Linked DNA regions of Lytechinus pictus. The main gene of each other region encodes a partner of the protein of the gene in region 2 in a complex. Links are inferred from orthologs where the notes say so. Each region holds a gene or a part of one and is shown on either strand. Other genes may lie near its edges. The genes, in order: WD repeat-containing protein 82-like and CXXC-type zinc finger protein 1-like.

What was found.
Region 1: CXXC-type zinc finger protein 1-like (region 2) and WD repeat-containing protein 82-like share a complex: the UniProt entries of both Drosophila melanogaster proteins name them as parts of the SET1 complex. The link is inferred for Lytechinus pictus from reciprocal best matches to the Drosophila melanogaster genes Cfp1 and Wdr82.

Annotation. Positions count from the first base shown.
Region 1 is NC_087247.1:65,191,031-65,207,654, reverse strand, and holds the start of WD repeat-containing protein 82-like, read right to left. Parts: upstream 8,896-16,624; 5' UTR 8,653-8,895; coding exon 8,489-8,652; intron 1-8,488. UniProt on the Drosophila melanogaster protein: Component of the SET1 complex that specifically di- and trimethylates 'Lys-4' of histone H3.
Region 2 is NC_087247.1:14,224,966-14,241,325, forward strand, and holds the start of CXXC-type zinc finger protein 1-like, read right to left. Parts: upstream 8,183-16,360; 5' UTR 8,037-8,182; coding exon 8,004-8,036; intron 5,585-8,003; coding exon 5,331-5,584; intron 3,677-5,330; coding exon 3,576-3,676; intron 3,190-3,575; coding exon 2,882-3,189; intron 1,269-2,881; coding exon 1,194-1,268; intron 464-1,193; coding exon 389-463; intron 1-388. UniProt on the Drosophila melanogaster protein: Component of the SET1 complex that specifically di- and trimethylates 'Lys-4' of histone H3. Essential for Set1 association with chromatin and trimethylation of histone H3 at 'Lys-4' at transcription puffs.

The DNA.
Region 1 (16,624 bases), about 51 Mb from region 2:
AAATTGATAATATTCATGAATTATGCAAACAAAAAATCACTTAAAAAAACACAATTTTGCTCATCCGTTTCATATTTCCAGCATCAAAAGAACTTTTCGAACTCAAAATCATGCTCGCCAAGAAAGAAATTTGATGTTTCATCAAATAGCGACGATATGAGAGAGATGATAAAACCCAGAAGTCAGATCCCGCGAAACTTGATATTTTCAAGATGGGGACTTTTTTTAGGATGCACGAGTGACAAGATCGTCTCTGTAAAATGGATTATAATGGACCTCAAAGTACATGATGTAAGTTTTAAATGTAATAATTTCGTATACCATAAAACTTATTTCCCTTAAATACCTATTTTTTTTTTTAAGTATGAGTTTTTGTCAAAATTATGTAATTAATCTCGCTAATTTAACACGGTAACAGATACGAGTGTCGTAATCTCGAACCGGCTGTGATAGCTAGATAAAGTCTATACCGAGATCTTTGGGGACTTGCCATTCCAGTAGTAGCCTCTTGTCGAGGCCCTGGCGGCTGTTTCCCGAGTGAAGCAAGGGATATAGCGAAGCAGAGCGCAGCGAGAGACAAGGCCTCTTGACATCTATGCCGAATTTCACCGACTTTCTTTTGTTTTTTATTGTTTTTATCAATATTCCGACCAAAAACTGGTCGGTGAAAATCAACCAATGAGAGCGCGGACTGCTATGACGTCATAATGAATTTTCAAGATTCATCTTGAATGGCGACCCGTGGTTTCTTGGCGAAGAATGGCAACGAAATATTGAATATGCCTCTAAAATGCTGAATATCGACCGATTTAAAGATTTGCAAGTCGATGAAATTAAATCTGCACTGAAAGGACGAGATGAGTTTGTACATCTACCCACAGGATATGGAAAAAATGTGATCTTTTATGCAATTCCACTTTGCGTCGATTATTGTACTCCGCGGTGCAGTGAGGGAATGCTGGAGTCGTGTTGTTCAGTTGGCGTCTGACCAGTGCAGGCCGATCTCCTGGGAAGTTTCAGGGCGGTGATGGGTCTGTTACGGCTAGAGCTAGTAGTAGTAGTACCACTACTTGTAGCATTTTGCTGGTTATATCCCTTTTAGTGTCCCGCAATTAATTGAATCCCCTGCAAAGTAGTGGACTTCTAGTATTCCGAACCCCGGACGAAACAGCTTTGACATTTCATTGGTTTACTAGGTGATCGGTAATATACATGTATATGACTCATGTATATTCATTAGGAAGATGTTCCTCATGAATATATAACTCACCTCAGATGTCAAGAGGCCCTGGCTCGCTGCGCTCGCCAGGCTTAATTCGCTTCGCGAATTAGGATATCCCCCGCTTCGCTCGGGAAGCTGCCGCCAGGAACTCGACATGAGGCTATGACAGTAGAGGCGCTGGTCCAAAACTTGGGATTGTCCCAGAAAACAAGGATATCCTCATAAACCAAGACAAATAATGTCTTGATAAATTGAGACTGTCCTTGTTTATGGGAGCATTTTTTTTTACTTCCCCCTATGGGACAAAGACATCAATTACGGGAATTGAGAGTGCTAAAAATAGATTCAGTGACCTCAATTCCCCCCAGTTCACCGTCTATTTTTCATAACTTACCGTCTTCCAATAATCTTGTTATAAAACCTGATATGTTTACTAAGCCTGAGTCATATCGATTATTTTGAAAACTGGTGTTCGACAGCTTTAATTCGATCGAACATCGATGCATCGAAGTTTGAAGGCGGGGAAATCGAGTCATTTTTTTTGCTCCGGCCGTCGCCTCGATGCGCTATGCACGCACTGCATGCACTGACGGTATGCGCTGGCGGGGTGAGCATTGCACAAGCAGATGACGGAGCAAAATTTGTTTGTATTTTCCATCATCACAAAACACAAAAAAGGCCGGGGTCCAATGCAGAATTCTTCCAAAAATATCTCCAACAATGATATTTGCAGATGACAACATATAAGTTTAAAATGAAACAATATAAAAGACATGAATCACGCAGAGTCGATCCGAATGATTTTCGGTCAACTAGCAATCGCAGTCCAGACTCGCACAGACTCGCACAGACCAGCCCCGTACACTCACTCTCCCGAAACGACAGGCGTGCTTGCCAGTGCCAGCAAACAAGTGCGACCAGCGGAGAGTGCTGTAACTTGCCTGAGATTGTGTAGTTGGCGGGGTAGTTGGATCCAAAATGAGCTCCAAATAAATTGATGGGAATAAATACGTAATTTTCTCTGGATGGTCATTTGAATTGCTATTCAATGCTGACATAACGATTGTGAGGAAATATTGTGGAATTTGAGTTATGACGATGTTCGAGAATTAGTCCTGATATAATCCATTCTTTATTTTAGAGTCAGACACTAGAGCATGCGCTCGAAATAAATACGAATGTCTCGGATCGAGCTCTAAATTCATATAAATTATTATTGGATGTTAAATAATTACGATTTAATAAGATTTTATGGCCATACTAAAAATAATGACGATGTCAGCAAAGTATGTTATGTTTATATGGAAGAATTAATAGTATTATACTGGCATTATCTTTATTTTTATTCCATCTCTGGACGACGTCTCCGGATCCCAGCTCCGAGAAAAGAAGCACAATGCGCATGCGCGTTCGATGACGTATGACATATTTTCCATTCATGAAATCAGAGCCCAAAGTTGGGCACAAGCTAGCTTCAAATTGATGGGAAAAAATATTAAACGCAATTTTCTCTGTTTTGTCACGTAAAATGTTATTATATGGTAATATTACGATCTTGAAAAGAGTTTCTGCATGTTGACAATGTTCGAGAATCAATCCTGACGTGATAATTATTTTTTTAGACAAGTGCACTCACTCAAGTCGATCGTCATGTGATGTCCGTCATTGAAAATTGATACGAAATACAAACGTTTCACATCAAGCTCTTAATTCATATTAATGATTATCATATGCGAATTATTGTTAATTATTACGATTAAATCGTGTTCTATGGTCATGATATTAATATTGTTCATGAAAGCAAGATTTATTTTACGTTGATCGCGCCAATTTTCCGGCCATTTTCTGGTTTGATTAAAGCACAGTACTGCGCGTGCACGATCGATGGCGACTTCCATTCATGAATTCATCGTGCATAAATTATCTCGGCACGAGCAGACGAGTAAGACTCGAACTATGATCGAAATAAATTTCTAATTAATGGTGAATAGGCATCACAATTAAACAATCAGTTTCTTTTTGGGGGCAATATAAATCAAGTAAGTAGTAGTCAAGTTGGACATTACTGTTATTTTGATTTTTGATGATTGATTGTGTGAACCAAACGAATCGGCCGGCCAACGTATTTTATTTTTATTTTTTAAATGCACCGATTTTGCAAAATCTGCACCGGCGCTCGATGACATCGATCGAACACCGATTTTAAAATCGATTCGACTCAGGCTTAATGTTTACATTGACTAGCACACTTGATTCATTGGTGTCGGCACTTGACAGGTGAATGAACTTTCCTAGATTTCTTGTGTGAAGAAATCTTTAAAAACTGAGACAGTCCCTGTAAACTGGGACGATCCCAGTTTTCTGACCAGCGCCTCTACTAGTCTCTACCTGTGGAGAATCTACAGGTAGGACTATGGTATGCCAATGCTGTATTGAGCACACACTTTAAAAAAATCATTAAAATATCACTTTTGTGATCAAAATTATTACTTTCCATACAGTTGCAATTCAATTTTCATTAGTAGCTTAGAATAATTTTTGTATTGACCAGAGCGCTCAAAAACTTGAATTTTGAGATATTTTTGTGTACGCCCTTTATTGGTGGAAAGTAATATGGCGAGAAAATGTTCATTTTTCAAGCTCTATTTTTAATGAAGAAAACAAAATTTAAAGAATCAAATTTACTTAAGAGCCAAGTTAGATAATGAAAAGCTGTAATGGAAACTGACAGTGTAAAAAAATCAAGCATTTGTCCAAAAGAGAAAATAATCCAAACATTGTCAACCTTATTTTGCCACACATAGAGATGTAACTGAGAACAAGGTTATATCCTAACCTTGTTCATTGAATGAGTGCTACTGCATGCGCATGGCCATTGCTAAGTAAGTCATCGATCATGAGTAACGTTTGCAAACAATTTCTGGTGGGGAAATTTGCTCGAATCGAAGTCAGGCGCTGCGAAACTAACTGCATGCCACAAATTATTAGCGCCACGATTTGGGCTGCCGCGCAGTAGCAGCACCTGCCTCGAGCAAAGTTTGGGCAGGCTCCACTCCACTGCCGCTACACTACGCTCCACCTACCCGAACTTTGGGACCGTGAACCTGATCTGATATTCCGAGGGACAAAGTGGGATAAGAAAGTTATTTATAAAAATTATAGAAAAAAAAAAAAAAATAAGAAAAATAGCTTAATTTCTTACTCTACACGTACCCTTACCAGTAGAGGCGCACGGCCAATATGGGAGACTCTCTCCAATAGGGGAGACAATCTCCCACATTGGAGACTTGCTTTGCAAAAGGACAAAAGAAACAACACCAACAAAAGCATGATTTTTTCCACCCAAAATTTTGTCTCACTGAGGTCAGAAGCCCATTTGTTTTGTGTGTGATTGACAACAAAAATCATTATCAAAACAAAAGTAGATGGTGAATTTTTAAAGTAGACGGTGAAAAGGGGTAATTTTTCATGAGGAATCTGCTTATCACATTTTTATTTGCCGCCAAGTTAATCCTTTTGCAGCAAATGTAAACAAAGGAAATTGGACTCCAAAACTGGAGACTGTCTCTGAAATTGGATACCCAAATTCTTTACAAAAGTCTCTGTATTGGAGACAATCTCCCACATTGGAGACAGTCTCCAATATTGGCCGTGCGCCTCTACTGCTTACATGTATTTCACTCCATGTCCATCCTCCGGTTATGCTCAAAATTGGTGATTTTGGGCCAGTATCCAATTCCTTACACGTATTATTCACGGCCGATTTCAAAACATCGCATGCGATCGGTCGCAGGTCAAACAGCATAAATATTTATATTATATTGGATGGCTCAGAAAATACCAAAAATATTCTTTGAGTTTGGGAAAATATTCCACGAATCAGTGACTGGAATATTTTCCCAAACTCTTAGAATATTTCTGTATTTTCTGAGCTATCCAATTAATACACCATAATTATAATATAATATTCCACGAATCAGTGGAATATTTTCCCAAACTCTTAGAATATTTCTGGTATTTTCTGAGCTATCCAAATATACCGTAAATATTTATGCTGTTTGACCTGCAACCGATCGCATGCGATGTTTTGAAATCGGCCGTGAATAATACGTGTGAGGAATTTAGATACTGGCCCAAAATCACCAATTTTGAGCATAACCGTAGGATGGACACGGAGTGAAATAAGGGTGTAGAGCCCGCGGGGTGTAGAGTAAACAGCATAAATATTTATATTATATTGGATGGCTCAGAAAATACCAAAAATATTCTTTGAGTTTGGGAAAATATTCCACGAATCAGTGACTGGAATATTTTCCCAAACTCTTAGAATATTTCTGTATTTTCTGAGCTATCCAATTAATACACCATAATTATAATATAATATTCCACGAATCAGTGGAATATTTTCCCAAACTCTTAGAATATTTCTGGTATTTTCTGAGCTATCCAAATATACCGTAAATATTTATGCTGTTTGACCTGCAACCGATCGCATGCGATGTTTTGAAATCGGCCGTGAATAATACGTGTGAGGAATTTAGATACTGGCCCAAAATCACCAATTTTGAGCATAACCGGAGGATGGACACGGAGTGAAATAAGGGTGTAGAGTAAGAAATAAAGCTATTTTTCTTTCTCATTATATTTTTTTCTATAATTTTTACAATAAATAACTTTTTTACCCCACCTTTGTCACTCGGAATATCAGATCAGGTTCACGGTCCCGAAGTTCGGGTAGGTGGAGCGTAGCCGTAGACTTAGTCAGTGTAGCGGTAGTGAAGTGGAGTGGAGCCTGCACGAACTTCGCTCGAGGTAATACCTTGGTCACATTTGCTACGGCCGCCGTAGATTCTAAAATTTCTACGGCGAGTAGCAATTCTACGGTCGCCTCAGAATTTCCACGGCCACTTACTCTAGCGGTCACATATGTTACAGTCGCCGCACGGCATATTTTTTAATTTATGGAGAAAAAATCAGCGGCTGACGTATGTCCTTGAAATCATGACGTACGGTCGCCCTAGGGCGACCCTGCGCTGGCCGTAGGTTTTTGACAAATACTACGGCAGACGCGAGGTGGCCGCAAGGCGCCCTCACGGCGGCCGCAGGGGGACTATACAGTGAGTATACCATGAATTGCTTGTCATACTCATCATGATATTTTACATTAGACATTTCATTTCAGAAAGTTTTCAAAGTGTCGCACCATGCCCATGCGCGTATTCTGGATGGGAGGGAGGGGGGTTCAGGGCCCGGGCCCCCGGGTAGGCGAAAAGGGGGTACCAAAAAGAGGGAGGAAAGAAAGGGAAAGAAAAGGGAGATAAAAAAGGACGGGGAAACAAGAAGAAGAGAAAAGGGAAAAGGTGGAGTAATAAAAGTGGGGGGGGGGGGCAAATTGATGTTCGACCTAGGACGGGGGGGGGGTCGCCAAATTAATGTTTGACACTGATCTGAATATTATACGATAGGTAATGTTCGACCTAGGAAGGGGGGGGGGGGCAAATCGACCTTTGGGGTGATTCGCGCTCGCATCGAATGATTAGTTAGATGGACATCCTGTTAATGATTACCTAATGATTACCAAAATTGTGTAGAATTTGGAACGGAATATAAAATAGGTTCAGCTCGTGCTTCGCGCTCGGATCGAATAATTTTTAAGTGCCCATCCTGTTCATGATTACCAATAATGCTTAGAATTTCCAAACTTTGGGTCATTTTGGAATATAGACAATTTTCAGCTCGCCCTGACAGATAGAGAGATGCCCATCCTGCTCATGCTTACAAAACTTCTCAGAATATTATTTCCAGGTCTATACACAAGCTATCAAAAATCGCGTTCGCATTATTTATTTGAACTTATGAAATAAATCTCCCTTAACCATGTTAACTTGTTTGTATGAATAAAGTTAAGATGTTAATAAACGCGTTAGTCTTAAGTAAGAATTACACCCTAGGAAACAACAAAAATCAGCATTTAACTCCCCATGATAATACTAATGATAATGATAATAATAATAATTTTACCCAAGTTAGCCGCTGGTGAAAGGGCAATATCTGTGCTTCCTGGTCACATTTGTTCTTTAAAAAAAGTGGTATTACATCATATTCATGGATAGAAATAACCCAGAGAGCTCCCGCCCGCTGCGCGGGCGGGAGCCCAGAAGCTTACCGTGTATTTGACCATATTCACCGGACTAGGGTGATTTATGGTCTAAATATTTCTCCAAATGAATTGTGAAAACAGAAAGTATACAATTACCACGATTATATGGATGAAGGTCTAACGAGTGGCAGTTTCCTGACATCTGGGCACAGACTGGAACCTCAAAAAAACGAAAAGTTCTCTCCTTCTACCCCCGTTTCGATCGGCCATTTTTGTTAAAAATCGTAACAAAATGGCCGATCGAAGAGGAGAGAACTTTTCGTTTTTTTGAGGTTCCAGTCTGTGCCCAGATGTCAGGAAACTGCCACTCGTTAGACCTTCATCCATATAATCGTGGTAATTGTATACTTTCTGTTTTCACAATTCATTTGGAGAAATATTTAGACCATAAATCACCCTAGTCCGGTGAATATGGTCAAATACACGGTAAGCTTCTGGGCTCCCGCCCGCGCAGCGGGCGGGAGCTCTCTGGGTTAGGATAGAAACTACTTTTTATCAAGTCATCATTAAAAAAGTGGTCTGCAGTTAATTATCTGCAGTTGCCCTTTTTCATGTGATTATGAAATAAGATAATTCAACATGCATTTAAGGCACCCGTTTGCCTGGCGAGGAGGGGTCGCCATTTTTTTTCTGAAAAGTACACATGCATATGGGCCAAAATTATACTATAGCCTAGGTCGGGCCCCCGAGGTGCAAAATTCTAAATACGCACCTGGTGGCTCCCGAGCAGATAACACAAAAGGAGAAGGGGAAAGGAGGGAAGAAAAACACGAGGGCAGCCTCACGGCCACCGTACGCTCGACGTACGGCCGCCGTAGACCGTTCTACGCCATGCCTACGGCTAGTGACCCTAGTCTAATTTCTAGTAGAATTCTACGGCGAGCGTAGAAAAGAAAAAATGTTATACTTATATTAACTCCGAGTTAAAATTCTACGGCCTGTAAAAAGTAGGAATCCGCCATACGTCGACCCTGCGGCCACCGCAGATTTTCTGCGGCCGCCGCAGAAATCTCTCGAATTCAGGTATCTACGGCCGCCGTAAGGCCGCCGTAGAGCAAATGTGACCAAGGTATAAGCAGCACCGGCACCATGCATGCACCACTTACTTTCCCTCTAAACAATCGTAAATTACGATGGAATCGTCTTCACTGCTCGATATCAGCGTTTCTCCGTTGTGTGAGAAGTCGATGCTGTTGATCCGTTCCGTGTTTTGGTCTTTAAAAAGCTTCGCAACACGATAGCTTCTCATTACTTGGTCGGACAACTTCATGATTATTCAATTTCAAGTCCAAGATTTGAGTTCGTTGAATTTAAGCTGGGTTTCTGAAATCTGCCTGTTATGATCGATCGTCGGGGTTTGGTCGGTCACTACATACATGTACGTCAAACTTGGATTAAACTCGTCGCGTGTACTGTATAGTGTATGTAGTGTACGTCTAGTCTACGTCTGCAACAACGAACGTAGAGGGCAGCAACACACAAGCGTGTTGCATGCTATAAGGAAGGTCAACTCGATACGCGCATGCAGCTGAGCTGCGCGCGTATTTTATTGTTCATGCCAACGAAATCAAATGCCGATCCAATACAACAACAGATTAGTAGCGATCAAAAAACGAATATGAAAGAATATGACTACAACAATACCAAAGATAACTTAAAAAATATGTTGAGGAATATACATACATATAAAAACATACTTTGATATTTAAAACTTTACAAATATAAGTTTCAGGAAACTAAAATCATTACCAAATCGGTGATTGTTGATATCAGCGATTTCACCAGACGGCTGTATTAGGTGATTTGCGTCGAGACGATTTTGTGACCACTCGCAAAGCATTTCGGGATTGAATATAACCACCTTATTTTCTCTGAGCTCTTCGCTGAACCCATCATCACAGTGCAGCTGCAGCGCAGCGCGCAGCCAATGCAATGCATCCGATGCATGGGTTGTTTTTTCGCCGTCCATGCCATGGTCTCGGACTCAGAGTTGAAATTATAGACCCGGATTTCGGGGATACAGCGCCTTTATTTCAGATTTATAGACTTAAAAGTCAAATGACATTTAAAATTTGAAATCTAACCTTGAACAATCATCGTTGATAAACATCAGCCCTGAAGCCATTACACTTCAAATCAGGCCAGGCAAATTAGACGTCATTGTCTAAGTTGCTAGATCTATGACGAGTCGCCTGAAGCCCCAGCGCATCATCAACGTCACTAGCTAGCTGCGCGACCGGCCCAGACTCGGCACACCCAGGCCAGAAAAATGACCTCGATTATTACGGTGGTTGTCTATGCATTTATTAGTGGTGCAGCGAAATTCAGCAGAAGAAAATAAGAGATATGAGGTATCCTCGTCACAGGCTTAATATTCCAAAATGAGGACAAATGTCAAAATCATGATTATTTAAGCTAAATATTTTCTTTAAAAATAAAAGTAATATTTTTAATATTTATACCCAGAATAACCGATCTAAATAATTGTTCATTAAAAAATATTTGAAATTAGCAAATGAAAAAAAATCAACTCGACAAATTTCCCAAAACCCCACCTTATTTTTTAAAGTGGTCACAAAATTCGAGCGGAGTTGACCTTCCTTAGAGCAACACGCTTGTGTGTTGCTGCCCTCTACGTTCGTTGGTCTGCAACATAACAAAATATGATCGTCGTTCGTTTTTTAGGTGTCACGCGCGTAAAACATTCCCCATAGACTTGTGCGTTAAAATGGCACTTTTGAAAAATTCATAAAAAATAAATGTGAAATTAGAGGGTGGAATGTTTACTACCAATGGATAGGTTATATATCTGACATTCCAAATCTGACCAGGATAGGGTACCGTAGCCAGCTCATTTTAAAAATAAATCGCCATTTATGAAGATAACTATGAATGGATCGAATTCATCAACTGAAACAGTAAAATAGCCCTAATTATTCCGCCAGTCAAAAAATAGTTCCAAGTCACTTATTTATCTTCCCAATTTGGGCAAAGGAAGTTCAGTAGTTACCATTTTTAGAATCAGTGTTAGATTTTGAATCATATTTATACATTTTTGACAATCAGCAATATCAAATTGACAAAAATTCGAATGGGTTGGGTCGAACGAATATCTTTAGCCTTCCTGATGTAATTAGGCCCGTGGAACCTATATTATAGGACCTATGAATTTTATTTTTTTGAATAGCTACTTTGCTATTCTTATATATCTGTACACTCACACTAGCACAAATAAATGCATTGAAAATGTCTATTTTCTATGCAATGACCCATTTTAATGTGTTACTCATACATGTTATTTTCACTATATATGGATGTATACAAATCCTACCTGCATATAGCCCAACAGTGAATGCAATGACAATATAGGTCCCTATCAATTTTAATATAAAGGTGTATGTAAATTTTGTGTAGATATCAGGATACCAGAACTGCCCCAAACATATACCAAATATCAAATATACATGAGATTTGATGAGGAAACAATAAAAGAATGAGATACTACTTTAGTATACTTGCATTTGACCTATTCAAAATCTTCCTAGGGCTGTACGTTGCCTCTCAAATGTAAGAAGGAAGAGATACATAAATAGATAGATAGAAAGAGAGAGAGAGAGAGAGAGAGAGAGAAAGAAGGATAATTTTATAGATGGCATGGCTTAATAAAGAGGGGGGGGGCTATGCTAAGATTGCAGCACACAGCCACCCCCCCTCATCCTTAGTTGAGCACTATTAGATACCTTACCTTACTCTGTGCCCTTTCTGAATTCCTTCTTGAAGGTACCACTCTAGTTCTCTTCAGTAAAGTTCTCAAAGTTCTACCTCCTCTCTACCTACCCCCTTCCTAAGAACAATTTTAAAATGAGCAATTTCTAAAGGTCTTTCTAATGCTAAGTAGGTGATGTACACTAACACAAAACAATGATAAATCAGAACATAAAGAGGCATTGACTCTATACATTGACCAATCTACATACATTCCTAGGCTACCCAGACCTACTAACTTTACCTGATGTAGCCCTGCTAGCCATTAAATCCATTTTTTTGCACCACTTGATGACTAAACATATTGATATAAGTGCATGAGAAATTGTTTGCTACTGAACAGTTTGGCCAGGTATACCATCCACTACTAGGGATTTCCCATATTACTTACAGGTGTCACGCGCGTAAAACATTCCCCATAGACTTGTGTGTTAAAATGGCACTTTTGAAAAATTCATAAAAAATAAATGTGAAATTAGAGGGTGGAATGTTTACTACCAATGGATAGGTTATATATCTGACATTCCAAATCTGACCAGGATAGGGTACCGTAGCCAGCTCATTTTAAAAATAAATCGCCATTTATGAAGATAACTATGAATGGATCGAATTCATCAACTGAAACAGTAAAATAGCCCTAATTATTCCGCCAGTCAAAAAATAGTTCCAAGTCACTTATTTATCTTCCCAATTTGGGCAAAGGAAGTTCAGTAGTTACCATTTTTAGAATCAGTGTTAGATTTTGAATCATATTTATACATTTTTGACAATCAGCAATATCAAATTGACAAAAATTCGAATGGGTTGGGTCGAACGAATATCTTTAGCCTTCCTGATGTAATTAGGCCCGTGGAACCTTTAGCGAGTCGTCACCACTGAACTAGAAATACGTGGAATACGTGTCCCTATTCCCAACGTACACAAAGCCGTGCGGCAACGAAGAGCATCGGACTTCACGCTCGACTGAGCGCGCCGCCATTTTGCTAGGTCAATACTGGCTAGTCGACAAATGCTGCGTGAAGGCAGATGGGAGAAAGGAACGCAAAGAAAGTGTTCCTTGTGCTGTTTAAAGTTTTAGTTTGCTTTGTTACATCATGAACTATATGTTATTGAATACTTTCATAACTGAAAATGTTGATTTAGTCACATTTTTTTATTAAAAAAATGTAAAGGGGAGTAAACATACAGACATGAAATCATAAAAACTCGACCTTTTTCACGCGCACACTATGACAAAGAAAGGCCCAACAACAAATTTGCTTTCTGAGTAGGCCTACAATTTGTCTGAACAATAAAGGCCTACAAGCTGGTTGCATTAAAAAAAAATCTTTTAACGATTAGAAATCATGTCCCTTTTCTCTAGCTTTTTTTTTAAACCTCCCTTCTCATTCAACTATTCATCTCATCTCATTTTCTCTGATTTTCCTCTTCTGTCCATCTCTCTTATCCTCCCTTTTCTCCATCCCCTTCTATTTCTTCCATTTCTACTTTCATGCCCCTCTCTCTCTTATTTCTCCCCTTTATATCATCGCGATCTCCCTCTTTATTAATTTTCCTTTCTCTTTGGCTTCTTTCTCTCTGATTTTCCTCTTCTTTATCATCTCTCCCTCTCTATACCTTCCCTTTCTATATATCCCCCTTATATCTCTCTTTTATTTCCCCATCTCCCTTATATCAAGCCCTCTTATCTCCCTCTCGTCTCGCCTTTCTCTCCTCACCTTTTTCTCATTCCTCGTCATTTCCCCCTTTCTCTCACTCTCTCTCTCTCTTTGATCTTCCTCTACTTTCCATCTCTTCTCGTTGATCGTCTGTTTCTTGTTTTCTCTCCGGCTGCATCTTTACCATTTTGCCTTTCTCATTTCAACTTTCTCTATATAAATTTTGAGTAAATATTCCCTTCCCTCCCTCTCATACTGTTCAATCACACATTCAGGGTGAAAAATTGGATAGAAGTTTGAGGACAAGAAGGTTGTTACTTTTAATGTGCCTTCAAAGTTGGACCTTCGTGTGCTCAGCCATGAAATATCTATAAGTACAGTGTATATAAAAATGGGCACAATATAATTTGAATTCTTATGAAATTTTAATTTGGAAGAGCATGGATGTTGCACGACATGTGCTTATACATCAATACACCTTTACATAAAGGAAGGGGTGATGGATACACAAATTCAACTCTAACAAGTTTACTAATTAGAGCACAGATCAGAAAAGCATAGCAATGGTAATTCCATTTAAAAAGTTGTGGCACTAAATTTCGCTTATTTTCACATACCAAATAATTATATGCATATCCTGGTCAGTATATATGAAATATTCCACATGTCAAAAATTGCACAAAAAGACCACTACCTCTTGTCAAATATTTCCAGGGTGACCAGACGTCCCGTATTTTGCTCCTTTGTCCCGGCGTCCCGACAAACCCTTCCCGGGACACCTATCTGTCCCGTATTTTTAGAATATTGAACAAAATGTAGTTGATACATTTAAAAGTGACGAATTTTCATCTAATAACTTAACAGATGACGAAACAGAGACAACAATAAATCGATAACTAAACTTTTGCAAAGTTTTGCGGGTGATTTTTATCCTAACCCAATAGGCCTACATTGCAAACGAGCTGGCTTCCTGCCTGTGTGTGGCAGGCTCTATGCATGTAGGATCGGAGCAGATTCTCAATGGTGCAAACAATCTCACATGATAAACAGTTTTTCCACCAAAATAATCGCAAAATCGGCGGGAAATTTTTATGATCATATATTATAGATTCTCAGATTACTGATTTAATAGGAGGAACAAGTTTTTTTTAGTTTTCATAACTGGATCTACATGTAGTTGATTTAGCTTTCGTTTTGAGTCTTGTTGTGTAGGATGCCGGCGCTGTTTCCTCTAATTTGTAAGTTGACAATGTTTCACTTTGAAATTTTATTCATTTCTAAACCACTTCGTTTTTCAAAATTTTAAAGATATATATCTAAAAAACACCAAATATATCATTATCATTTCTGTTAGATGATTGGATTGCTTTTGTTTGCTTGAAGTTTGAACTTTTTCCTCTTTCATTTTTATTCTTCATCCTTCTATCCTTCCTGCTTGCTTTTTTTGTTCCATCTATCTTTTAATATTTCCTACCTTTCTTTCCTGATCCAGTCTGTGTGTTAATTTTCTTTCTTTCCTTCTTTCTCTCATCTGCCCTTTTTATTTACTTCCTTCTCCCTTCCTCACCTTTAATTTCTTTTCGTTTTTTCTCTCCTTCCATTTTTTTTTCATTCTCTCCTCCCTCCAATCTTTCCTCCCTCTCTTTCATTCTTTCTTTCATTCTTTATTCTATTTTCCCTTCTAATTCTTTCTTTCCCTCCCTCCCTTCCTCCCCCCTTCCTGTTTTCTGATCTTTCTTCGTTTCTTTCTTTCAAAGAATGAAAACATTTTTCTTTCCTTCATTCTTTTTTTCCCTTCTTTTTCTTACTTTTTCTTTCTCACCTATATTTTGTCTGTCACACATCTTCCCTTTCTTTCCTTTTCTTTCTTTCTATATTCGATGAATTCAAAGAATAACGGAAACCTTTTTTTCTCTTTTATTCTTTCTTTCATCGTCTTTTTAATTATTCTTACTTTCTTTCATTTTCCCCTTCGTTTTTTTCTTTCTTCTATCTCATTTCATTTCTTTTCTTTCTCTCCTTCATTCTTTCGTTCACCCTCCCACCCTCCCTTCCAATTCTTTATAGTTTTTCACAAGTATAATACTGTGTAGCCTTCTTTGATGATCTTTTTTTTATCGATTGTCCCGTATTTCATTTTTTGAAATCTGGTCACCCTGATTTAAACCCTTTTTTAAAACTACATGAATTACCAGGACCCAGTACATTGTGCATATAGAAATATGTTTGTACATGATTGGCTTACTGACATTAAAATACACTTTGCCACACTAAGTACATCAGTATTAATTTTATATTTATAGAGAAAACATATTGCATCTTGCACATACTTTCAATTGCCTTCTACGGCGCGTTCTCGAACAATTGACCTAGCAAAATGGCGGCGGTCACGTGACTTATCGAGTTCGCCGGCGATGTTTTGCTTGGGTGAACACGACTTCCACGTATTTCTAGTTCAGTGGTCGTCACGCATACATCGTCGACTCAACTCGGCGGCCACTTTTGACCCATAAAAAAGTCGACTTTGTACGCACGCACACTCGTCACATTCGAGGGGATGAAGACCCATAGGGCCGGACCTAGTCTGCTATGCAGACTCTGAATGGCTCGTGAAGTGGGATCGCAAACCAGCCTGAAAGGGCGAGCGAAGCGAGCCATTTCAGAGTCTGCTTCTTCTTTGGAAATCTTGTTCCCACGGTCAAAATAAGTCCCACCCACCCAAAATTTCAGAGAGCTTTCATTGGATAACTTCATCTGTCTGTAAACCAAATTTTATGACCACTGATGAGTATAGACAATCCCCTACTTCAACCACAGAGCCATGAGCAGGGTTATTATGTAATACCCTCGCTCAGGTCATGTCATCAGACAGTGTTTACATATGACATTCCACTGAGCAGCTGCATGTATGGCCAAAACCTTGCTCCATGGCCCAAACCAATTGTGTATTCATGGTATAGTGGATGGTTTTATCATAGCTCTATATATATATTCAATTCAATTCAATCTTTATTTCGCAAATAGGATAAAAATACAAGGAAACATCAAATAATGTGATTAGATAATAAAAATAAATTGCGTGGCTTCCCATGAAGGTAATAAGAAACATGTGAGGCTCGCCAAAACATAGTAAAAACAAAACAACATTAATACAAAACAGAATATCATATCATTATAGTTAATAGTGTATATAAAAAGGAGAAAAAAACACGAGTTGAGGGGGGTAGATACGTTACAAGTATGCATTGATATCATGTGTGAGAATTAATAATAATTTACTAGAAAATTTGAATACTGTTTTCTAAAAGAATATATAAATTGTGAATTAGTTATTATTTGGGGAATCTCATTCCATTGTTTGGGACCTACATAACTCAGCTTCGTGACTATAGACCTAATAGACCATAAATGAAATTTATTGGAAGAACGGGTATTATGGTTATGAACTTGATTATTGCATTGAAAAAGATCTGAAAACTACATGGGTAACAACTACCTCTTTTTGAACTTATAGATAAATATTGTGAGTTCTCGCTTATTAAATAAAGGTGCGGATGGTGCTATTAGAATAGGTAATTATTCTTAAACATTTCTTTTGAATATTGAGTCCAATTCATATGAGGTTACATTGGTATTGCAATATTTTAAATAAGAGAAAATCATGGAATGGTATAAAGTTATCAGATTTTTATGAAGCAAACTAAGCTTAAGTTTGTAAATTAAACCAGTATTCCTTAAAACATTTATCATATGGTACTTAAAACCCAAAATATTATCAAACTCAAAAACACCGTGACCATTCTCATAAAATTCAGAACT
Region 2 (16,360 bases):
GACAAGGTCATTTGTGAGTTGTGGGTTGTGAGTGACCACAAAGAAAAATAGCTGGAATTGCAAAAGCTCCTGTGCTTTTGTACAAAGCATACAAAAAGCTGAATATAAGCTGGAAAAAAAAAAATGAAATAAGCTAAAAAGTTGAACTCTCACATCCTAGTGTGCTTCAAATTGTGCACCAGAGAAACAAGAAATTCTAGTTTCTCTTCCTAAAATCAATCATTTTTCAGAGGTTTTTCCTGACAATCATGGAGACTTGTCATCTTTGCTGTGTACAACGACTGTTCAAAGAACCTTTGGACAAAAAAAAAACATACGAAGCAATGGATAAGAACCTGAGGGCATAAGGTAGTCTGGTAGCATAACTATATAACATCTTTGAACTTACACTGGCTCTGTGTATACACTGCTTTAAGCGACACTTCTGTCTAATCTTATTTGGTCCTCCAAATTTTTTCATGTCCTGTTGAAAAAAGGGAAAACAACCCTTGATTAATTTCACAGAATATGATAAACATTTCTTGTTTGGGTAACAGAGACAATATTTCACAGAAACAGGGAGAAAGAGGGAAAGAGAGGAAGGGGGGGGGGGGGGGGAGTGGGGAGAGAAAAAAAGAAAAGAAGAAGTGTTTGTGTATGTGCATGCCCAAGTTACAGAGTCACTGTCCCAAAGTCTAACACTCTTCTCCATCGATCTTCGTACTTACAAAGGACAGCTAAGGAAGCTGTGGAACTCATTTCCTGCCAACACATTCCCTTTAGCTCCAAACACAGACAGATTTGAAAATTGTGTTAATTCATATTCAATTAGCTTGATGTAAAAACTTTCTATTTGTTTCTGATTTGGCAATTATAGGTCACTTTTCATCCTTATATGATGGCAATATCAGGCCCAAAGAAAAATCTAAAAAAGAAAATACATAATAAAAAGTGTGTACAAAAGGGGAATGGAAGAAGTTATTTCATAAAAACGGAATACAAAGAAAGAAACATATGCCTGTAAAAAACTTAACCAATGATACATGTAAGTAAATAATGAATTTAAATAAAAACAAATACATGAAGAAAAAAATTAATGAAAAGAAATTAATACTTTTCTATCAATATTTAAAAAAAATTGATAAATGAGTGAATTGCTTGCAAATTTACATTATTATAAACAAAGTAAAATAGAAAGAATAAAAAAATCTTACCAAGCAAAAGTCACATTTTCCACAATCTTCAATCCTCTTGCAAGCTTCACATTCACCACATCTCCTATTGGCTCTCTGAATAGAAAAATTATAATTTGAAAAATGAGGATGAAATCAAAACAATAAATCACACAAGAGTTAGTAGAACATTGGATAACTACCCTATGTTCACTGGGATCAAAATAAAATAGGAAAGAACAAAAAAATTGTATAAAGGACCAAAAATAGTCTAGATACTTGACAAGGCATTTATCTGGTGGTTTTCTGGGAAGCACATACAAAAAGTTGATTATTTCCTGGAATAGTCTAGGTATTTGGCAGGACATTTATATATATATGCCACTTTTCATTAAGGTGTAGTTAAAGGGAAGGAATTCTTATCATTATCATCATCATAATAATCGTAACTATTAAAAACATCATCATCGTCATCATCGTCATCATCATAATTATTATAATTATCATCGTCATCACCATCATCATCATCATCATCATCATAATTATAATTAATATCATTGTCATCATTATAATCATTATTAATATTATTATCATCACTACTATCATCACAATCATCACCATTACAATTATACTTATCACAAGGCTCCACATTAACTTTTTTTGGTGGTGGCCCGTTCGGGCCACCAAAATCTTCAAATAATTTTTTTTTGTGGCCCGATATTAAAGTTTGGTGGCCCGAAAAATATAAAGAAAAACATTAAAAATGAATAAATGGGTATAAATGGTTTAACCACTGTAAAAAAATGAAAGAAAATAATAAAACAGCAAAAAAAAGTGTGAGAAAATTCCTTCCCTAAATTTGCCAAAATGTTGGAAAAATTCACATTTCATATTAATGAAATGCCTTCCCAAAGTATTTACTTTCTCAAGAGTTGTTTAAGAAATAATTTATAAACAAGAAAGAAAGTAACTGTCTGTTTATTTTTGGCTAGAAAAGACCGGAAAAGACACAGCTTCGAAAGAAACCAAGTAACAACATACATACAAATGCACATGTGGGACTGTGATGTACTCACCTATGTGTTTTTATGTGTATTATTTTCATTTGGAAATCGGTCTTTTTGAGTCAAAAGAGAGGTAATGATTCCTCTTTTTAATGCTTGCAAATAATCAGGATACACCAGATTTTAGCAAAAAGGTCTGTAGATGGGCATTTCATTGGTGTAAAATGTGACTTTGACTTGGATTTTCACAGTTCTGTGGAAGATTTCTTAGCAGCAACATTTCGTATTGCAGCTCCCTGAGTCTGAATAGGCTGCTATACGCTAACGCACAGCTGCTTCAAGCATGCAAAGCTCACGCCAGCTGGCTGGATAAAAGCTACTAAATGCTATAGCGGTAGGCCAACTTTGTGTGTGTGTGTTTGTGTGTAGATCAACAAAAAGGGCGCATGACGAACTGGCTTGCAATTTGAATTATAGAAAGTTGATAAATGCGTGCAAAATGGGGAGAAAAATTGCGCTATTCTGAAAATTATTGGTTGCCCGATTCGGGCCACCAAAACTTAAGATTTTTTAATTAATGGTTGCCCGAGGTGGTTTTCTGGTGGCCCCGGGCCACCGCTAATGTCGAGCCTTGCTTATCATTATCATCATTAACATCATTATCATCATTTATTATCATCATCAGCATATTCATCAAGACATCAATGTTATCATTACCATACTTACCAGTTGTGGCCTAGTGAGTTTTTGACCAGAAGAAGCGGGTGAATAGTCCCCGGATGCATCAGCCTCAGAGGCACCTGTTCCAACGCCACTCGCTGCACTACTCTTCTCCTTCATCTTCATCATCTTCAGCTTCTTACGTCTCTTCTTCTTTTCTCTCTCCTTCTTCAACTTCATCTTCATCTTTTTCTCTTTCAGGAGCTGTTTCTTCTTCTTCTTGATCTTCTTCCCGCTTGGCTTGTTGTCCAATTTGGGCCGTTCTTTCTTCTCCTTCCTTTCCTTGTAGATAACCGACAGACCTGGAGTTTTCTCTGGAAACCATAACAACAAAGGGTTTGAAGTTTTTTTGAAGAATACATTTTGAACCAAATGAATGTTAGTACGTATCATACCTTGCTTACTTTAGAACAATCAAACCTATAAGAGATGTGTTCCTTCGGCCAAGCATATAACAATTTATTTTTGGCAAAATAGTATCATTGGAGAAGATGCATGATTTCTTATCTAAAATTTGATATTCTTGTGACTACACTTGTGTTTACACTGACTCCTACCCTGGTATCCCCTCCGATCCACAATAGATTCAAGGCTGCTGATTAACGTATTTCTTTTTTTCTTTACAAAAATGTTGGATAAACAAAACAATAACATCATGTGGCCGTCCAGAGGATTTAAAACAAAACAAGTGCTTACACACCTCTACACGGTGGACAGGCATACTTGAGGATGTACTTAGCAGCAGGTTCCTCCACACCGACGCATCTTCCGTGATACCATTCTTCACAATGATCACATGCTCTAGAAAGAAATATAGGGAAAAAAGTCTCATGATCCAAGAAATAGATTACAACGTTACAATATAACTATTTTATTACTGTATTCTGAAGTTCAGTTGAACTTGGGAAATTTCTGTAAATTATATGCTGAAATCATGGGAAGTGAAAATTGTTAATTGTTAATTGTTACATTGTACGGTTTTTTATTTTATTTCCCCATGCATCGACCCTAACTAGGCCGGAGGGTGTTTCATAAAGCTGTCTGTAACTTACGAGTGACTTTACAAACGACTGGTGATTTGGATCAACATCAACACCAATGAAAATCTGGTATGTATCATTTACCACAAGGATCACCATTTGTTTGTAAAGTTGCTCGTATCTTATGAACAGCTAAATTTAACACCCATCTGGGTTATTTTGGTACACTATACAGCCAGGTGGGGGGGGGGGGGTATGTTGGCTGTTAACTGCACAATCAGCACGAACATTGGCGTGCATGTTGCTCACTGCATATAATCTACATTTTCTACATGTACAGAATAGTAATTTCTTTTAGAAAAATTGTGTGATGTCAATGATTAGGCCAATTGATGCACGGAAATCAAACTGCAATTAATCCAAGGGATATAGGGCCGAATGTACATGATAATTTTCAGTCTGGCACTCTTGGTGGCCTCCTTGGCACATCTACTATGAAAATATTATGATATACAAATTGGTTTCCTGTATAGCTTATTTCATAAATTTTTCATATACATTTCTTTGCTTTTTATTCGTTCATAAAATGGAATAAGTATGCAACACTATTCAATAATAAACATAAATAAATAAATTTTATGCAGTATACTGGATGATATATTTACACTGGATTTGTACATAATTTTTTGTTTTTTGTTGTTGCAATTTTGAGTCTGACTCTGACATGCACTTACATAATGTTACATACTTTTTTATTGTATCAGATACATTCTGCCATTATTATTATTGATTCTTATCAGTGCATCTTCTTGGAAAAGATAACACAAAATAGTTTATAACAAGACTTCATTCCAAAGTAATAGAGAATCTGCTTTATTTAATTTTTATAAAAGAAACATTTCATTCTCAGATTATCTTTTTCTTCTCAGAGTTTTAATCCTTTTTATCATTTTCACTGTAGTATTGAAATAATCTGTTCTCAATGAATGAGTTATCAAGTGACACCCCATTAAAGTGTAGTGTTTACAAGTTAACCTAGTGTAAAGTGCACTATAGAATACCAACCACCATAATCAAAGGTCAAGTCCACCCCAACAAAACTTTGACTCTCAAGTGAAACAAGGTTTGATTCCTCCCAAAACATATTAAATTGCCATTAATTGAAGATACTTCGGAATCCTTAATATAAAAAAATTTAAAATATTCTGTATTTCATATATATAAATAAAATACAAAAGAAATATTGAGTGTGTGACATCATCCATTTTCTTTCATTTGCCTATCACAGTGTTTTGCATATAACTGTAAAAAAATTGTGAAATTAGGTGAGATTTTAAAATGCCATAAATTTCTTTATACTACATCCAAATTTGAAGTCATTTTCACCAATACTATTATTTTTCTCTATTATTTCAAATCCAATTTGGTTGCATGGACTTGCCCTTTAATTAGTTGCAATGATTTTAAATTCTTACATCATGAACTGTGAGCAATCAAAACTCCTGCAAAGACAGTATAGAATAGGTTCCCCGTTCTCATCCAGGAAGGGCCCTCCTGGTCCACTCTCAATGGGCTTTTTGTCCGTCTTGACCACCTTCTCTTTCACTGTGTCCTTGTCCTTTTCCGTCTTCTCGATCATACTGACGAGGGTCGCGACCTTCGCCTGTCTTTCTGGTAGGATCGTGAAGCCCATTGAGGAAGATGAAAGCTCTGTCGAGTCTTCATTATCCTAATTTATTAGAAAAAGAAAAATGGTCACTTATTTCCTGGTAAAACTGAGACAGAGTAGATTTACTGTTCCATTAAAGGGGAAGTTCACCCTGACAAAAACTTTGTGGGAAGAAGAGCAGAAGAAATAATACAAAATATTGTTGATGATTTGAGGAAAATCCATTAAAGATTAAGAAAGTTATTAGAATTTCAAGTTTTTGCTTTGTGATGACATAAGCGAGCAGCTGCCCAATATGTTTATTATAAGTTGCATAAATTTTATTGTTAATGGTTCTTGATGACTTATTCTATATTTTCTTTTTAGGAGCGGGTGTGAAATAACTTGTGTATTGATATATTGAAGGTATAATAAAAATCATTAATTCATTTTAGATTTTCTGAGAAAAATTATATTTCATTTATTTCTTACCATACAATATAGAGGAACGCTCCTCGCATATGATGTCACAAATCAAAAAATAAAAATGCTAATAACTTCATTCTTTGATGGGTTTCCTTCCACAGTGGCAAATTGTATAGAACCGATAGCGGTGCGTTCAACGCTAGCGGGCGTGTACATTTTGCTTATTACATGACGTCATCCAGCCACTGCCGAGAGCCAATTTATGAGTGAAAATATAGTACGCATGCGCAGTGCAAGCCTTCCATTGCCCCACACAGTATTCCACCAAAACAAGTGTGCAATTCTCTATCACCTCGTACCAAAATCGACCTAGAATTTCACTTTCCTATATTTTATATGAATTATGAAAGGTATTCTCGGAGGATCTATTTTCTCACCAATACACCACAGGTAAGCGAATTTCGATTACTTCTTGCTTTTCCGTCAAAATCTTACGAATTAGCGTCGATATGGCATCGTGTTCATAGGAGTTTGTAGAGTCTATCGCAACGTGTACAAAGTCAATTGATTTCTGGGTTTCGGAGCGTCGCGTGAATATGCATGAAATTGCTGAGTCTCGATTATTTTTTATCGATACTGGAGCAATCCGATCACGAACCAAGACCATTTCCCGGGTAGACAATGTGACCGGATATCATTATCGCTATCGATACTTTCGCACGCAGTCCGAAGGAATTATTTTGGCGACCACGTAGTCATGACGTGATCTGCGCGATTGGCCAATCAGCAGTCTCCGATTCGCTGAGCCGAGACGGTCTATCTGTTGTACACAGTCTATGGACAATATGCCACTGTGCCTTCAAACCTTCGCCAATATTTCTTATATTTTTCCTGGGTTTTTTTTACAATAAACTTTTTGCCCGAGTGAACTTCTCTTTTACATGCAGAATTACTGAAGAAAACAAAGGAAAAGAGTGACCTTAAATTAGTCATTAGCAAATATTTACTCTCATAACTCTCAATTTTAAAGGACAAGTCCACCCCAATAAATATTTGATTCTATTAAAAGAAGAAAAATCGAACCAGCATAACACTGAAGTTTTCATCAAAATCGATGTAAAATAAGAAAGTTATGACATTTCAAAGTTTCACTTAATTTAAAAAAACAGTTGTATGCACATCCTGGTCGGTATGCAAATGAGCAGAGTGATGACGTCACCCACTCACTATTTCTTTTGTACTTTATATGAAATATAAAAAATTATACTTTTCTCCTCATTGTCAGTGAAACAGAACTTTATTTCTCCCTGAACATGTGGAATTACCATTATTTTCAGTTTATGATCAAGTCAAATTGGTCCTTATTGGTAAATCTGTAAAAATTAAAATAATGTATAATTCAAACAATAAAAAACAAAAGAAACAGTGAGCAAGGGACATCGACTCTCTCATTTGCATGTCACCGAGTTGTGCATATCAGTTATCACTGTCTGTTTTGTGAAAAATAAGGGAAACTTTAAAATGTCATAACTTTCTTATTTTTAATCAGATTTTAAAGAAATTTTCAATGTTATGCTTGTTTGATTTTAATCTAGGCCTATTGATTCAAATCAATAATTTTCTGGGGTGGTCTTGTCCTTTAAACAGTCATTTGTAAAAATTAACAAGCGAAATTATTCTTTAAATTAAAAAAGGCAATATAGAGAACAAAAGAGCAGATGATTACAAATACAAGAGTAAAAGACAAAAAAGAAGGCTTCAAAATTATAAAGTGTCTGGACACCCGACCCCCCCCCCCATCCTACTACAACAAGTTCAAAACATGAAAAGCACAACAAATTTGCTATAGACCAATAGTGTACATCTACCCGGTGATTTAATTCCTGTACAATTTGAACTAGTTTTTCACAGAATTGTGATAAACACATTTGGATCTGCGTGCATAAGAATTGCATGCGCCGGCATTGTAGTTGCACTTGCAGACAGCCAAGGCCCAAAGTCAGAGATGTGTCAGCGAAAATAAGGCAAATTGTAACACTAGCTGCAATTCTTATACACTCTATGATCTACTCACGCTCGTTTCTTCCATTGTAACTGAATCTTCCATATTTCTTGGGTTGTGCGGCGCCAAACAAATCAAGTCGCTAGCTGGAAATTGTGGTACGGGAGTCGGGTCGAATGTCGATCCGGATCGAGAATTAGAGACAGCCTCGACCTCGGCCTCGCGAGCGAGCAGTTCGACCTACGGCAACTAACCCAGTCAACCATTCTAGACAACCGAAACATGAAACATTCTCCTCTTTGGCGCCGGCGGGCTCCTTACGGTGCTCCTTGGCATGGCCTGCGCGATAGGCGGATCGGGGCGAAGTGGCCGTGCATGGTCCACGGTTGGCGGCCAGCCCGGGGGGCCACTTACATTGACGAGTGGATACCATGCGCGACCAAAAAAACACGTAAAAAGGATGTCTTTTTCAAGATAGGGCACGTTACGTATGTAACGTGATAAGGGTGTCAAAAACACAAAAATAGTGAAAAAAGGGTATCTATTTCGCTAGGAAAGCTACGTGTTTAGGGTCAAATTTGCGGGGATGATAAAACAAAATTAAAATATTTTATTAAGGATGTCCTTTTTGCCCCAACACTACGTGTTTAGAGTCCGATTTGTGCGAGGTGTGGAAGGTGGGGCCGTACTTAACCAAATGATGTGTAAAGGTAAAACCGACGACCGACGGACCCGCGACATATCGATCACTTTAGGCCCTACTTGTTTAGGGGTTCTTTTCAGGGAAAATTGTATCGTTTTGAGTATCGTTTTGTTTCCAATACTTGTTAAGGGTACGGTTTCACACGCCAATACTTGTTAAGGGGTGCATTTTCAGAATATGGAAAATACGTGTTTAGGGTGCTTTTCGAGACCCCATGGTCGCGCATGGTATCCACTCGTCAATGGAAGTGGCCCCCCCCCCCGAATGTTTGAATCACTGAGTGAGCGCGCTCAGTTGCCAGTTATACTGACCTAATAGAAACATTTTCTGGACAATGTCATTAAACGGATATGCATCTCATGATCAAATAATGCGAGCGCGAAGCGCGAGCTGAATTTTTTTATATTCACACCTAAAAAGAGACATTATAATCAAATTTGTGTAATCATGATAGGTACCTGTCTCGCTAAACAATACGAGCGCGAAGCGCGAGCTGAAGTTTTCGTATATTTTGACCCCAAACAGCGAGATTTTGAGGAATATATTTTAGGAATCCATTAATAGTATGCATATCTCACCATAGTCATCTAATGCGAGTGCCAAGCGCTTGATGGTTTATAAGAATTACATCTGAACACATGAAACACTTTTTGTAGTCATTGCAATCATGATTATCGTACGCATCTCACTACTAATCAAATATTGCGAGCGCGAAGCGCGAGCTGAAAATGTAGATAATTCAGACCTGAAGTGGGGCATTCTAAGGTTTCTTTGTAGGAATTAGCTAGGACCATACGTAATTCAATATCCAAATGATGCGAGCGCGAAACGCGAGTTGAAAATTTTTGATATTCAGATCAGAAGAAGGGACATTTTAAGGACTGATTTTAGGAATTCATGAAGAGCAGACATATCTTACCAATCCACTAATGCGAACGTAATCACGGACAGGAAATGTTTCATATATAAGAAGACCTTAACATGGGGCAATCACTTTTTGAGTCATGAAAAAGAAGCATATGACGTAGGCCCTGGGCAAATTATGTTTCATGAAGTTATGATAAAAATGTTTCTTATGTAATGTAACATAACATAATTATAATATAACATTATAATATAAAACAATGATAACTCAAGTGCTATATATTTGGTTTATATTGACTTGAAAACGGGATGTTTCAGTACAACAGGATTATATATCTCGTTAACAGACAATACAAGCACCGGGAACAATGAAGACGTAGGCCCTGGGCAAATGTTTCACGAAGTTATGATAAAAATGTTTCTTATGTAATGTAACATAACATAATTATAATATAACATTATAATGAATAATATTTTCTTCTTTCCCACTACACGCTTCTCTTCCTTTCTCCCTCCTTTCTCCTTTTCCCCTTTTCCCCGTTTTTTTTTTGGTCAGCCGATTGGGAGGGCACGTGCCCCCCATGCCCCCCCCCCGTAGTTACGCCACTGTTCAATTCAATTCAATTCAATTCAATTTATTTTCATTCTTCAACATAATACAAATAATTACATGATAAATCAATTCAATTCAAATAAAAGCATGAACAAAATTCAACATTAAATAAATAATATACATATTCAATAAGTGATTCAAATATAAATTAACATGCATGTCAAATTTAAATCAATATAATCAATATAATTAAATATAATTTAATCAATATAATCATATATCATGAGAAGAATGGAGGGGTCCACTGAAAAGCAAAGCTTGTAAAATGTGTCCATATGGCAAATACCCCTCCAATATTATTATCTTTTTTACCCCATGATGGTTTAATGGTTTTATTAGAGATTACATTAAAAAAGAATTGACATTTCATCTTAATCCCTTCCCAAAGACCACAACATAGATGAATTGGAAGAAACGGGAGTTTTTCTTCAATGTTATGATAAGGACATATGTATTTCGTTTGGAAATGGTGAACTGGCTCTTTATTTGCATTTTATGATTCAATAATATTGTTTTATTTGTTAAGCGGTATTTCAGGAAGAATTTTCACCAATAAAACAATTATCTCTTGTGATGTTTTTTTTCTTCATTACTTTCGTAAAAAGTGGGGGGATGTTTGTACAGGCCATCCCCCCTCCTCGAAAAGTGGGGGGGGGATATATCCCCCCCCATCCCCCCCCCCCCCGGGATTTACGCCGGTGCTTGATATATTTTACATTAGCGAACTAATGATGAATGAATGAATAAGTACGAATAAATTAATGAAGTAAGGATGAATGAATATTCATGAATGAATGAATGAATGATAAATGATGAATAAATCAGTGGATTAATGCAGGCCTGGGATTAATGTCATAAAATGAATTATGAAATGATGGATGAATCGTTCAAATATCCGTTGCTGGAAATTTCAATCAATTTTGATTGACATCAATCAAGGGAAATCTATGTGATTGACTTCTAAGTGCTGTATTAAGGCGGATATAAACTCAATCTTTAATGGGACATAATCTTCACTATTGAATTAGCTAAGGAGATGATGTGGCCCAAAGCGACTACACCCTTGAATAATTACTCAAAATAATTGATTTTTTATGAGTATATCCTTTATCCTGTTTTTGATATACCTCTTTGTAGAGAAATACAATACACCCAAACTGCTTTGTTGTTAAGCAGGAGTTTTCAAAGATCCGGTCTGGTGTTGTTTCCATCGTCTCTCAGAAAGATTTGTTTGGCTAAGGCCTATTTGTTTGACTTAGAATCTCCAGAACTTTTATTTCCTGATAGTTTTCAAGCGAACTGTAGTTTTGTTTCCGAGCTCCACAATTATACATGATAATAAGACATTTAAAACAAAATATAATTGGTTATCTCAAACTTCTTTTTTTTAAAGATTTTTGGTCATTACTTTCTGCTTAGACGATAGTAAATCATCCAAATGAAACTGTACACCCTAAGAAATTTCTGCACCCTAAGGGGTGCTAATGTGCACCCGCACATAAAATGGGTGAAAATATGCACCTTTTTGTTACGTCTACGCTTACCTTGTTTGCACCCAAAATGGTGCAAGGATGGAAATGTGAACCTTTCCTAAAGGGTAGAACTATGCATCCTTCGTAGTGCAAAATGTAGCGACATGGACATTCAGAGGCGCATTAAAAAATATCAATATGAAAAAATTGTGCCCCAAAAGAGCACCATTTGTGACATTTAAAGGGAAAAATATTGAACCCTTTTTTTTCTTCGTGTGTAAAGCGCTCATTGGGTTTCTTGCAATGTGTGACTGTTTTACAACTATGCCAGCTATTATTTGTTTTTCACAGGGATATGGTTTCAAAATAAACGATGCGATAAACGAAAAACATAAAACAGTCAGAATATGAGCCATCATTTTGCGTCCTTTTGGTAAAAGGATGTCTTCGGAGCTCGATCTGCTTAGTTTACAATCTTGGAAATATTAATAATCGAACCCGCATCGTCGCTTGACGTGGTTTAGCGCCCTCTATAATTTTACCGTAAATAATCATCGCATACTTTTTTTTGTGGGTGGGGGTATCCATGTTTGCATTTTAAGTTTTTCGTTGTGTACTTTTCTGTTCTATTTCTTTTTCACAAGCGTCTAATCTATTTCATATCGATGTTTAGATCATAAATATCAAAATAAGATGAGAAATAATTGAATAATTAATTCTGAAATGGAAGTAACCGTCTCTGTCCCTTATTCTTTCCTGATCAATAATGCAATCATGCAGTAACTGTTATTTCGGATGAAAGAAAATTTTAACTTAGATTTAAAATTCATTATTCTTTCTATCCTTCCTCATCCCCTTCCTCTATAATAATAACTTGTTTCTTTTATACCCCTTGTATCCCCTCCCTCCCTCACTGGCTTTATCTCTCTCTTCCTTTTATATTTTTCTCGCTCCATCTATCTTTCACAGTATGTTGCCCTTCGTTCTTTTCCACACTTGTCTGCCCCAATATTATCTTTCTTTTTTTATCATATGATATTATACGGTGCAATATTGTCATTAATGTGATAATTTTATTGTCATTAATGTGTATTTTATTTATTGTATTTCTTTTTAATTCAATCCAATTCAGCCTCGGGGCTGCATAATCAGTATAAATAAAACCATACTGTATATTGCCATTTAGGGATTATTACCCACGATCTTAACATCCTTTTAATAAAAATTGTTTATTTTGCTGTTGAAAAGAGAGGTGTGTAAAAACCTGCAATTTTCCTCATAGTGAATATCATTTTAAGATATAGGGTAACTAAAGTAAAAAACATAATAATGATAATAATAAATAGGCGGGGAAAAGTCAAGAAAGAAACAATGATTTTCACAGGATGACAGATAGAATACGAAAATTTTGTGGGGTTTTACCGTAAGTCCTTACGGATGTGTTTAATTACTTTAATAACAAAGTCAAGTTTTTTTTATAATTGACGAGAGCGCAACCATCGTTTCCGCCCTTTCTGATAGTATACCATTTCATGTCCGATGTTATACTTCATTGATTAATTATCAAGTACAGGTTTCAATAACCAAACGAGTGTCGTTTTGGCGGTAAAAAATGTGAACTGGCGAAATTCGGGAAAACCCCTCATCCATGTTTTCCGTAAAATGATAACGCGGATACTATAGTTTTAATGGCAGTTTTGGAGTAACGATTCCTTGTTTTGGTCTCTTCTTCCTCGTTCTGTCCGCGGGCTGTCCCGAATCAGGACTGTTCTATTTTTACCGACTAGTTCCCTTTTATACCAACATGTTAGTGTTGACTGCATGACTGTGTGGGCGCATGTAAATACAGCGTCTGCATGAGCGGGCCCCAAAAATGCAAATACAAACGGATTTTCTGTACGTTTGTATTCTTTAATAAACTCCGCCCAAAGTATCTTTTACAGTATTATAATACCAGCTAAAAGGAGCAAAATACTACGGATATGTGTCAAATAGTTTACACGTGGGATTAGTATTAGAATTAGATAAGATCGTGTGTACCTATCTCCTCTGTTCTTGAGAAAATTCTTCTTTTTTAGACGTCCATGGGAAATGTCATTCGTATGGATATACTTTATACACTGACCTCCAACATTCTCCCAGTATTAAAGGGGAAGTTCACCCTGACAAAAAGTTTGTTATAAAAATACCAGACAAAATAGAAAAAAAATGGTGAAAGCTTGAGAAAAATCCATCAAAGATTAATCAAGTTAGTAAGATTTAAAGTTGTTTATTTATGACGTCATATTCGACCAGCTGCACCATTATTTTTTATATAAAATGCATGAATTCAATTTTTTTGTGGTTTATGATGGTTAAAATATTTTTTTCTTTCAGGAGCGGGTGTGATGATACTGAAGGTATACAATAAAAACAATTTACACTTTTTTTAAGAAAAAAAATACCATTACCATTTTCTATCGTCTTCTTGGTTATTATACTTACACAGTGACTATAATCAGGCAAAAATTTAAGGAGAAATGGGTTGGTGCACTTCACTTTTCTCAAAAATTGCGAGTGATCAAAGCAAGTTAGCATGAAACAGCTTTTTCTTCAAATGAGTGATTGACTATGTCATGACTTCGGAAAGGGTGTCTAATTGGCTATAATTATTGTATCGATTAAAAAAATTAAAAATTAGTGTTTTTTAAGAAATGGACAGCTATTTTTGTTTAAAAAAGGAAATGGTTTAGCTTTTGAGTTGGATTCACAACCAAAATAGGATTTTACATTACATTACATTACATTATATTACTCTTTCGATGTACTTTTGTTTTCTTTCTAAAATTATTTTTCAAGATGCAGTTTACAACAGCCTGATGATAAGGACATTGAACCGAAATGGTGACGTAAATGAATTTACACATTTAATGAGAATCGATCAACGATGACAAAAATATGAATAAATTACAACCCATAACTGAAAATCAATATAGCAACAGAGATTTTAACACCATGACCATGAAGAAAATAGAGATGCCTTCGTTACACTGTCCACCATACTGCTTCCATGACAACCGAATAATATTGATCACAAAGTTCAGCATTCGAATGACACATCATTCGTAGTCTTACTAAATATATATTATCAGTTCGATATGTTATGTAATACACTTAACTAGATTTTAAAGAGAGAGAATTAAACGCTGACGTCAGCATTAATATTCACATCTCTTAATGACCTTAATGGACTCGCTAGGTCGTTTTATAACGTAGTTATGCATGGCGGATGAGTAATAAGTTATGTAGTATAGTCTACGTTACAAAACAGGTTTAAAGTATATAAAAATGACGTAGCTACAAGAAAGGTTAACAAGCTCCCATAAAATAAGGTTCTCAGATGGGAACGGGTAATGGGGGAATGTGCCCTTTGCCCCCCCCCCCAAAAAAAAAAAAATCCACTATACAGAAAAATGATAAAGAAAGAAAAAAGAAGATAAAGGGAAAGAAAAGGGGTAATATCTAAAATTATCATTTCATTTTGGCAAAATTAAACAAAATTAGATTTCACTTTGAAAGCAGGGTCAAAATTTTCGCTCGTTCGCAACTTTTCAGAAATGCTGCACGTTTTGGCATGTTCTGCCAAATCAGCCTCCTCGAAATTTTTGACCCATTATGCCAATGATAAGATGTTACTGATAAAGCTGTATAAAAAATGCAGAACAAAACAAAAACAACAAAAGCGTGCTTGCTATTATTAGTTTAAGAGAGAGCATGCATTTAATATTCAAAATGGAATATTCGATGCAATATGAAAGATTCTTTATCAAAATAATATAATTTCGGTGGTGGGGGTATTCATATCCTACCCTCAAAGGAAATGATGGTGCCTTTTAACGATATAAAGGCCCCATACACTCTTCAATAGAAAAAATGTCCTATACGCTATCGATGATCCAAAACTTTTAATAATTCAAATTCATGATCATTGTCACTGACGCAATTACGTTTAAAACAAATCTGGAAGAAAATCACATCACGAATACCGAATCTTGTAATGAAATTCACTTGATACAAAAAATTACAATTGGCAAAATATAGGATTAATGTCATAATGAATTTTTTTGCTATAAAAATTATTTATCATGTAGTATTTAACTCTTGACATGTGACTGTCACCAATTAGCACTGAAGAGTACACAACGTCTAGCACATTTTCGTTAAGAGTTAAAAATTGATCAATCAAAATAATTAAAAGAAAATAAATAGTGCAGTACACCTTATTGGGGTCTTCAAATGCTAGACTAGACGCAATGTTTTGATCGCAAGCTTGTTCATAATGCGACACGCCGTGTTGGTTTTAAAAATACACACTGACTATTGCTGAGTCACCGCTGTACCGGCTTTCATTCGGTTCAGTGCAAGGTTAGTAGAAATGTCAAATGATTCTTCCAGGTAGCCAGAAATGTCAACTAGATGATGATGGCGTTGAATCATCTTGAATCATCAAAACCAAGGACACTTTCTCTTATTTATTCATCCTGGATATTCTCATTTCCTTTAAAATGCTGAAGAGCCTGAGAGCTCCACCATAATAGGATGATGGTGGTGATGATGGTGATGATGATGATGATGGTAATGGTGATGATGATGATGATGATGGTGATGATGATGATGGTGATGATGATGGATGATGATGATGATGATGGTGATGATGATGATGATGATGGTGATGATGATGATGGTGATGGTGGTGATGATGATGGTGGTGGTGATGGTGGTGGTGATGATGATGATG